2 linked regions of the Kluyveromyces lactis genome follow. The protein of the gene in region 1 interacts with the protein of each later gene in a biochemical or structural test. Links are inferred from orthologs where the notes say so. Each region holds a gene or a part of one and is shown on either strand. Other genes may lie near its edges.

What was found.
Region 2: the proteins of HMT1 (region 1) and SCD6 form a complex in vitro, tested with the Saccharomyces cerevisiae proteins (2 studies listed by BioGRID, with this or other methods). The link is inferred for Kluyveromyces lactis from reciprocal best matches to the Saccharomyces cerevisiae genes HMT1 and SCD6.

What each region holds. Positions count from the first base shown.
Region 1 is NC_006038.1:615,811-620,801, reverse strand, and holds HMT1 (protein-arginine omega-N methyltransferase HMT1), read right to left. Parts: upstream 2,435-4,991; coding exon 1,388-2,434; downstream 1-1,387. Other genes in the region: KLLA0_B07139g (60S ribosomal protein uL4), read left to right, coding at 1-799; DNA replication protein PSF1, read right to left, coding at 2,837-3,472; RAD61 (Rad61p), read left to right, coding at 3,731-4,991. UniProt on the Saccharomyces cerevisiae protein: S-adenosyl-L-methionine-dependent protein-arginine N-methyltransferase that catalyzes both the mono- and asymmetric (type I) dimethylation of the guanidino nitrogens of arginine residues in a variety of RNA-binding proteins such as heterogeneous nuclear ribonucleoproteins (hnRNPs) and small nuclear ribonucleoproteins (snRNPs).
Region 2 is NC_006038.1:985,264-989,923, reverse strand, and holds SCD6 (Scd6p), read left to right. Parts: upstream 1-2,313; coding exon 2,314-3,204; downstream 3,205-4,660. Other genes in the region: YLH47 (Ylh47p), read left to right, coding at 1-295; ANT1 (Ant1p), read right to left, coding at 564-1,631; peptide alpha-N-acetyltransferase complex B subunit NAT3, read right to left, coding at 3,380-3,973; KLLA0_B11253g (uncharacterized protein), read right to left, coding at 4,380-4,660.

The DNA of each region.
Region 1 (4,991 bases):
TATGTTCGCTCCAACCAAGACCTGGAGAAAGTGGAACGTTAAGGTTAACCAAAACGAAAAGAGATACGCTACTGCTTCTGCTATTGCTGCCTCTGCTGTTCCATCTTTGGTTTTGGCCAGAGGTCACAGAGTCGAAAAGGTTCCATCCATCCCATTGGTTGTTTCCGACGACTTGCAATCCATCCAAAAGACCAAAGAAGCTGTTGCTGCTTTGAAGGCTGTTGGTGCTCACTCCGACGTCATCAAGGTCGTCAAGTCCAAGAAGCTAAGAGCTGGTAAGGGTAAGTACAGAAACAGAAGATTCACTCAAAGAAGAGGTCCATTGGTTGTCTACTCCGAAGACAACGGTGTTGTCAAGGCTTTCAGAAACGTTCCAGGTGTTGAAACCGCTAACGTTGCCTCTTTAGGTTTGTTGCAATTGGCTCCAGGTGCTCACTTGGGTAGATTCGTTATCTGGACTCAATCCGCTTTCTCCAAGTTGGACCAAATCTGGGGTTCCGAAACCGTTGCCTCTGTCAAGGCTGGTTACGCTTTGCCATCTAACATCATCTCTACTTCCGATGTTACCAGAATCATCAACTCCACTGAAATTCAATCTGTCTTGAGAGCCGCTGGTCAAGCCACTCAAAAGCGTACTCACGTCCAAAAGAAGAACCCATTGAAGAACAAGCAAGTCTTGTTGAGATTGAACCCATACGCTAAGGTCTTCGCCGCCGAAAAGTTGGGTTCCAAGAAGGTCGACCAAGCTAACAAGATCAAGCCATCTGCTACTGCTTTGGAAACCTTGAAGCACGATTAAACAAAATAGTACGTTTCTTTCTACTTCACTAGTCTGAAATATATTTTTTTGTATTCAATTGCTACTTCTTCCCAATCCCAAAACAATCTTGTTGTGAGAGAGCTTGAGCTCTGCTTATAGACTAAAATTAGTTTCTACGTATATATCTCTATGTAGCGTCTCTCAAATCATTCATTGTTTTAGCGAGCGTTGTCTTTTTCTTATTGCAAGAGGCGGAGTGAACATTTGTCTATAATGCTTATCAAATTTGCAAAATATAATACATAGAGAATTATATAATCTTGAAGCCTAAGCAGGAAATAATTGGGTGTGGTTGCTAAGTACTGTTACAAACTGCTTGGAATTGCGAGAGGGGCTTTCATTTCCTTTTTATTTTATCTTTGTTTCTTAATGTTAATGATAATAGTGAAGTTCACAATGGAATCGAAGGCATTGAAAGGTTGAAAGAGCTGCATTCCTTCAGAATTAACCAAGTAATAAACATAATCTGAAGGTGATCTGAGCCTCAATGGGAATAGTAAACGAATAGTTTACGTAAAAAGGGCCCCAAATAATGGACTGAGTAAGAAAAACAACATAGCTACTATTTTAATGCATCAAGTAAGTGTTGGTACCCTTTCTTGACCTTTCTTTACCGTCTGGACCAGAGGCCTTGAAATTGTACACGATCTTGATATCCAAATCTCTGTTGTTATCTTTGTTTGGTAAACAGGTCAATTCACCTTCTAGGATATCATTAGCTTCACATTCCAAATCGTCTTCCAAATAGAAGACGGTTTGTTTCCAATGGGTGTATGTAGCATGGGCACCAGTGGAGAAAGTGACAGGTTTGTTACCCTTTGGTGCTGGGAATTCAATATCGAACCATGAAATCAACCCATTAATGAAATCTTGTCTCTTTGCCTGCAATTTAAACTTGCTGTGGAATGCCAAATCTGGGATAGTCACTGTATTAAGATCAAATTCGATTAATTTACATTTGGTAGTATTAACAGAACTGTTTTCCACTGTATCGACCAAAGGTTCTCTTTTCACCAATGGGATAAATGGTGAGTAATCGAACCCATAAACGTCTTGCCAAAAGTTCAGCTTTTCGCCCTTATACTTAGAATCTTCAAGACCAGCAATGTGAATGGAACACTTGTCAGGGAAGATCAACCCACCTTCGACCAAGTAGTTATCACGTGCATACAACACGGTATCCAACATGGATTCGTATAATAAGAAGTAACCCATCCATTCGGAAATAATGATATCAACCTTCTTATAAGGCAACACAACGTCTTCCAATTTACCACGTAACAAAGTGATCTTGTCTGAAAGACCATTCAATTCAACAATTTGCTTAGCCATTTCAATAATACTAGACATATCAACACCAATGACATGCTTAGCACCGTTCTTTGCAGCAAACATAGATAGAATACCAGTACCGCATCCAACATCTAGGACAACCTTACCTTTAAAGAAGTCCTTATTTTGGGCTATAGCGTTACGGTACGAAAGCGTACGCACAGTATCTTGCAACATCTCTTCATGAATACCGAAATGGTCATAAGAGGTGAAATAGTGTTGTTCATACTCGTTCAATTCTTTTTTCTGCGTAGCAGAATCAGTGACATCAGTCTTGGACATCCTTTATTTTATTAGCTTTACAATTAGGAAAGATATGCTCAACAATTAGACTAAAGATGAAACACAAGTCTTGGTATATGTATGGTGACAAATATTATATCCCAATAAGCTGTACACTATACTCAATGCAATCAAACCAATAACCGTTCTAACAAGTTGGTTCCAGATCAAGTACTGTTCTGTTACTTATGCCTCGTTGCCTTAAATACAAAACTGAAAAATTTTTGAAGGCGATGAGCTGCAAGAAAAAGAAATCCAAAAAGAAATCGTGCATTCCCCATAGTGAAAGTGAGGTAAAGCTAGTTAGTTGCATTTGGAACGGTTGCATCAGCAATATCACCAGCAATGATATCTACAGAATTGCAATGAAAGGTGCAGAATTCGGCGAAAAAAGCTGCCTTGCTATATCTTCTGCAGATATCCTTGTTGTATAAGTCTTTCGACGTCGGATTGTCTGACGAAAAATTGGGAATCTTTAATCAGGTTGAATACACCGTACTCTGTTTCTATTTGTCCTGCATCTTTCAATACTCGTACGTCGATGAACACATCGCTCGGCGGTTGTAACATCCCAGTCAAATCGATTTCTGAGAGTTCTCCCGATTTCAATTCGGTAAGTAGTTGTGCATACTCTTTGAGATACTCTTGTTCTGCATGTGATAAAACAGAGGAATCAAACGATGATAGATTCGGGTGGTTTGATATGGCAGAAGAAAATTCCATCCCGTTGTTATCCCAAACCATTGAGTCTAGCATCTCACTTCTCATCTTTTGGTATGCTAATAGACATCTTTTGTTTCTTTCCATCGAAAGCATAGCAACGACGTACTGGCATTGAGCGACTTTGTTATCCTGATCAGTAAGCTGCTGTTCTCGTAGGTAATCCACGTTCTTCTTGAGGGATCCAACCTCTTTCAGGATGCCACGGACTAGCTCGTCTTGATATACTGGTAATTGCTGTTTGTTGAATCCAGCTTGAGATAACTGTTGCGTTCTCTTTGCTTCTAGTATCAACTTGTTAGCGAGATCTCCGTACATTTTCGGTACTATGGCAATGATAATCAAAACCAATGACTTGAATCCAGTTCCAGGTCTTTTAGCACGTTCTTTTCCCTCTGTGTTATCTCTGTAAAAGTTGTTCATAGCTTTTCTCTTCTCTAGATTGAAATCGCTTTGAGGAAAACACGTAAAATTTAAGGACTTTAACGTGAAACGATACTGTTTAGACGCGAACAAATTACAACAAAGAAAACAAGGGGAAGCAAACCAACAAAGCCCATTGGGAGGTTCTGATAAATGAAGACGAGAGTTTATGGTCACTATGGGAAATTTCAAGCCTTGGCGAGGCGACATTTGAATAAAAAAGACAATGAGTTAAGCGATGAGGACAATTTCACTTCAACTGACGAGGAAGAAACAAGTTTATCAACAGATTTAGATAGAACTTATGAGACTTCTCCCATGGCTCCTGTCAGAGAAGAGTATGTGTCTTCCTCTCATAAATACGAGTCATTTGAAAACCGTGATTCAAAGACAATTGAAGCTGATCCATTCGATATTTTGGATGGTATGGGGTCGACATCTATGAAGAAGAAACGTAAAGTGACAAGGCTTCATAAACGAATAACAGTCGACAATGACGATATGAAAGATGTTGAAGAAGCTGTTGATAATGATTCTGAGATTCATGAGTTTCAAAGTACAATTGACAGTATCTCCTCGATGATTTCGTCATTGAAAGACTCCGACGATGTAATATCGACTTATAGCCAAATTCAATGTCTTAAAGTGGTCTCCACTTCAGCAGTGAGCCAGGTGAGATACGGAAGAACACGTACATTATTGAAAAAAGAGTTTCAAAGTGATGAAGAGCTACAAGAAGAAGCATCAAATGTCGATGAGGATGATGAAAATAATGAAGGTATTTTGGATGCTCAACATCACAATACTTCTTTTAATGATTCCAATTCCGTCATTCACGTTAATCAATTAAAAACACTCGGAGAAGGGCTTAAGTTCGAAGATGATCTGGATTTCTTACCATTCACTACTAGTGATGAAAAGTTATTTGTCGTAAAACTGATTAGCTGTTGTTTACTATTACTCAACAATACAGAGTTGACAAGTTATACTCAAAAGTATAAAAGCAATGAAGTATGGAACTGGTTTTTGCAGCAAATTAACCCTGAGAACAATGTCATGAGTTATTTACAACTTTGGATTGCTAATTTAGTACCACTGCCGCGAAGTGCCCCTCAATGGCAACAGTTATCACCTCTCCTAATGACTTGTTCCTCTCTTACAGAAAATCCAAAACTTATTGAGGGTTCAAAGATTACGAAATTAAACTACACGGATTTTGTTCAGCGGGCTGAAACAAATCCCCAAGATCTCACATTTACACTATGGGAGTTTCACCTAGACCCAAACAGTAATGAATTCAGTAAATTGATCGAGTCATTGAATAATCCTACGCCAAGGTTATTTGTTCTGGTTGAACAGCATTTAGATAAATTTATTACAGAAGAGATGATGACAAATTTATACCCAAAGATGT
Region 2 (4,660 bases), about 370 kb from region 1:
CTTATCTGGTATTCCAGACGAGTTGTACCATGAAGTTAAGGTCAATGTTGTTGAAGAGGATTCTGCTACTAACAAATCTAAGATGGCACAGTTGAAGGAACAAGTGGAAATCATGAAGGAAGAAGAGCAACAAGAAAAGGATGCAGTTGTTAGAGTTAAGGACGAACTAAGTTTAGATGCTGTTGATGCCAAAACTGTAAGTCAAACTGAAAAAGCTGCCCCCCAAGATGGCGAAAAGAAGCCACATAATGCCAGAACCGAAAGTGAATCCACCGAGGCCACTAAGAAAAACTAATTCTGAAGTTAGTAAGACTCCTAATACCTTAGTCAATGATCATTAACGACCAATTCAAGCATTAGAATCAAGTTTGAGCTAATCAGTTACTGATAGCTCACTATAACGAACATTTGGCATATAATTTCAGATTCAATTTATCATTATTTTGTAGCAGAGCGCTGTAATTTGTATATATTAAAAAAAAAAGCTTGCTTATACTTACTCCTCAAGAATATGTGATTAAGAAAGAACAAAATGCTGCAAATGAGAGCGGTTCTGGTTGCATTCAATTGGCTTTGATAGTTCTTCCTTTCCTATAAACCTGCAACAAAAATAGTAGCTTCTTGATGTGTTTAGCTAGTTCTCCCTTGAACATAAATAACAAGCCTTGAACAATCACACCTTTGGTTAATTGGGGGAGAAGACCCTTCCAGAGGGCATGGGCACCTTCATGGCGGTATAAATAAGTTAGAACTTCTTGGAAGCTGGTGAATTTGGATGAGGAACGTTGTAATGATGCTTTTGCCACAATCAATGGATGGGTGAGGCAAGTTGAGATGATCTTAGAGAGTACACCAATCAAGAAATTCTGACCAGGTTTCAATTGCAAAGAGGAATCGTTCAAATCCTTGGCGTTCCATTCCACATGGTAAAGTATATCTTTCAATTTCTCGGCTGAGGCATAAGTAATGGAAGGATTTATCGTTAGGACTAACGAGACTTTCAGACTTTTCCAGAATCCAGTAATCCCATCCTCATCATAAACCTCCTTGGCAATAGCCTTGAAACTGTTGTCCCCTTCTAAACCACGTCTAGTCTGTTGTTTTGTCGAAACAATGTTGATTGGATTAGTGAATAACTGAGAGGTTGCTGCTGCCAGCATGGAAAGCAGCAATTCTTCAATTGTTGAAAACCTGGCAGCCTCACCCTTCACTTTCTTCACACGGAAATAATGTCTTCTGATCAAGGTATACCAGAAGAAATAAGAGAAACTCTGTATGAAAGTTCCAAGCAATGATGCGCTTAACCCATGGTATAATCCACCAAACCCTTCATTCCGATAAACTTTTACAATCACATCTAATGCATGCTTATACCGCTGCTCCAATGACTCTTTAGTCGCTGTCGGAGGTTCAGGCTTCGGTTTAATCTGCTGTATACCGTGTTTCTTCGGTTTACTGGAGCCAGTACTTTCCTTGGTAGAGACATCAGCTTGAACATCAGAAGAAGGGTACAAATCACCTTGTTTCAACTGAGTTTGAATCACAGTTTTCGCCAAATCAAGTGGATACACTGCCAAATTGGCAAACCCGCTGGAGACTGCCCCAACGAAAGCATTCTCTAAACTTGCCATATGTTACGGTGGTACGTGATTTAATTGACCCTGATCTACTAAACTTCGGCGTTTATAAAATTGATTATCTCCTGTTCACAATAAATTGTTAGAGGGGCGGTGATTCATTCAATAAGCACTGCAAAGTACTAAATTTACTTTTTTTTTTGATTTTATTATTCTCCGCTTCCAACCGAAGAGTTTAGGCTTGAAAACAGGAACATTTTGCACTTTACACCTTAGAAATTATATTCCATTTATATAGTAGTTACTTTCCCAGAATTATTCCCCAATTAGATGAATAGCGGTCACTTATCACAGATTATTTTCCAGTTTTTCGGCTGTAATGTCCCTTCTCCACACATTTTTTGGCTCTCGTCTGCCTCGAAGTGAGGATTCTTCGAAAAGAAAAAAAAAAAGTGTTGATATTGATCACGTGGTTTTGAAATGCCATTCGTCAACATCGAAAATTAATATTGAAACCGTCAAAACTATGAATTTCCATGCAGGTATTTCCAATTGAAGAATCTTTAGAAATCTAAGGGACTATGACATTGAATAATACTGACTGCATCTGCTAACGTTCGCTCTTAATTTAGAACTATTCCCACACTTTGATCGTTGTTCAAGAAGGATATTTGTTTGTATCTAGTGGGTTTTAGAAGTTAATTTATTGATTATAGAGTGTCCACTTTTTGAAAGGATGTCGCAATATATTGGTAAGACTATTGCTCTTATTTCGAATACTGATAACCGTTATGTCGGCTTATTGGAGTCTATTGACTCTGAGAAAGGTGTTGTTACTTTAAGACAAGTTCGTTGTTTCGGTACAGAGGGACGCAAGGGATGGGGCCCGGAAGAAATCTATCCCAACCCTAATATCTACGATACGGTGCCTTTCAACGGTAATGACGTTAAGGATTTAAACATTTTAGACGTTCCTTTGGAACAAGTACAACCTGTATTGCCACCTCAGGTAAGCGGTCAACCACCAGCTCCGTTGGCTAATGCAAATGGGCCCAACGTTCCTGCTGCGGTGGCCGGGTATGGTGTGTACGCTCCAGACAAGGATCAGCAGCAAGTTCCCCAACAACACCAGCAAAAACAGCAGCAGCAAAGACAGCAGACCCGCCAACAGCCTGTTACCGAAAAGAAAGTTCCTAACCAGCAACAGCAGAAGTCTGCGGCTCCTGCTGCTCCTGTGGCTGCGGTGGCTCCTTCTGCTGTTCCAGATTCTGAATTTGATTTCGAAAGTAACAACGCCAAATTCCAGAATGCTGAAAAGCCCAGAGAATCAGATATAGAACAAGAGAAGCAAACCTCCAAGACAGATGAGATTTTCTACGATAAAAAATCCTCATTCTTTGATTCCATTTCAAGTTCCGCCGTAGAAAACTCGTCTTCTGCCAAATGGGAAGAGGAACGCCAGGTCAACTTGGATACTTTCGGTCAAGCCAGACCAAGAAACAATGGTCGTGGCGGCTTCAGAGGTCGTGGTGGATATAGAGGTAACCGTGGCGGTAACCGCGGTGGCTTCCGTGGTGGAAATCGTAATGCTGCCAACAAGCCACCAGTCCATGATGTTGAATCTTAACAGAACCCCATTAAATACCTATTATCTCAACTACCTCTTAACACACCGGGAAATTGAAGCTAACACGAAATGAATCGAGCAATCTATCGAAGTAAAAGCAGGGAAAGACGCATGTGTAACATAGAAACACTAAGTATACAAATTTAAAAGCTATTATAATTTTAAAAGTACAGCATTAAAACCGTATGTCCATCGGCAAGCAATTATGTTTCCGTCCATCAGCACGAAGACTTTTTCCCTGGTCTCTTTCCATCCCATGTCTCATGTCAAAGGCATCCTTGAGGTCATTTGGTTTTGTTGACCGGGAAGGTATTGGATCAGTTTGCGAGTTGTAATATCCTACAACTCTTCTATAGACAGAATATCCCAATTTTTCATATAAACTGATCGCCAATTGGTTATTGCATTTCACAAATAAATCAATAAAGTTCACATTATGCGGGGAGTTATCTGTTATGGTTTTTAATGTGTCACATAGCATCGATGCAAGCGATATTCTCCTGAACCTAGGTGATATCGTCACAGCAGTAATGTGTGCATGCCAGTCTTGTCCTTTTCCCTCTGTTTTACCCATCATATATCCCGATATTTCATATTCCTCTGAACCGTGCAGCGGAGAAGTCATCTCTATGCTCTTGAACATTAGCGATGGCCATAGAATTAGATATTCAAGATAAAACTCAATAGGAAAGTTCTCTGTAAATGTATCTAGATTCACTGCATTTAAACTGAAAAAATCAGTAGCCTCAAATGGCTGAACAGATGTCATATTTCAAACGTTGCTGTAGTACTAGCAAGTCGTTGCTTAGCGAGTTATCTTGTTCCCGGTAACCTTTTTTTTTTTAGGTGCTGCGAAGGTTCAAATTGGTTGAATCAACCTTTACATGTTTCTTTGAAAGATGTGACAGTGTAACTCAGGTCACGTGAGTACAATTTTCTTCGAAAGAGGAGGTCTATCGAGAAGATTAACGCCATTTGTTCCACTAGTAATGGCTCAATACTAGGTACACGCCCTCCGCTCGACGGAGTGGCGTTTTTCTGTTACAGCTTATATGTTTATGATACTTCAGTTATACATTAACAAACTCCTTCTGAGTTCTATCACTGAAAATAAGGTTTGGATCTGAAAAGTAGAAAGAAATAATAATATATTAACTATGATGAACTATATATGACTACTTTAGCTTCCACATCACCAACTTCTTTGAGGCAAGCGAAACGCAAATGCTATCTTTGTAAATGTCTAAAGACTTAATTCTATCCTCTTTGCCATATTTTAGGGGCCATGTGTCAGATTTCCGTAAATCCACGGCATATAATCCGTTATCTGCTCCAACGACTAAACCACCAAGTGAATAAGACACTTGCAAAATAGGCTGAGAATAACTATCCTGTGGTACTACAGTGGCAATATTCTGTAAGATAGAATCGTAATGCGTCTTTGTGGTGGTGGTTA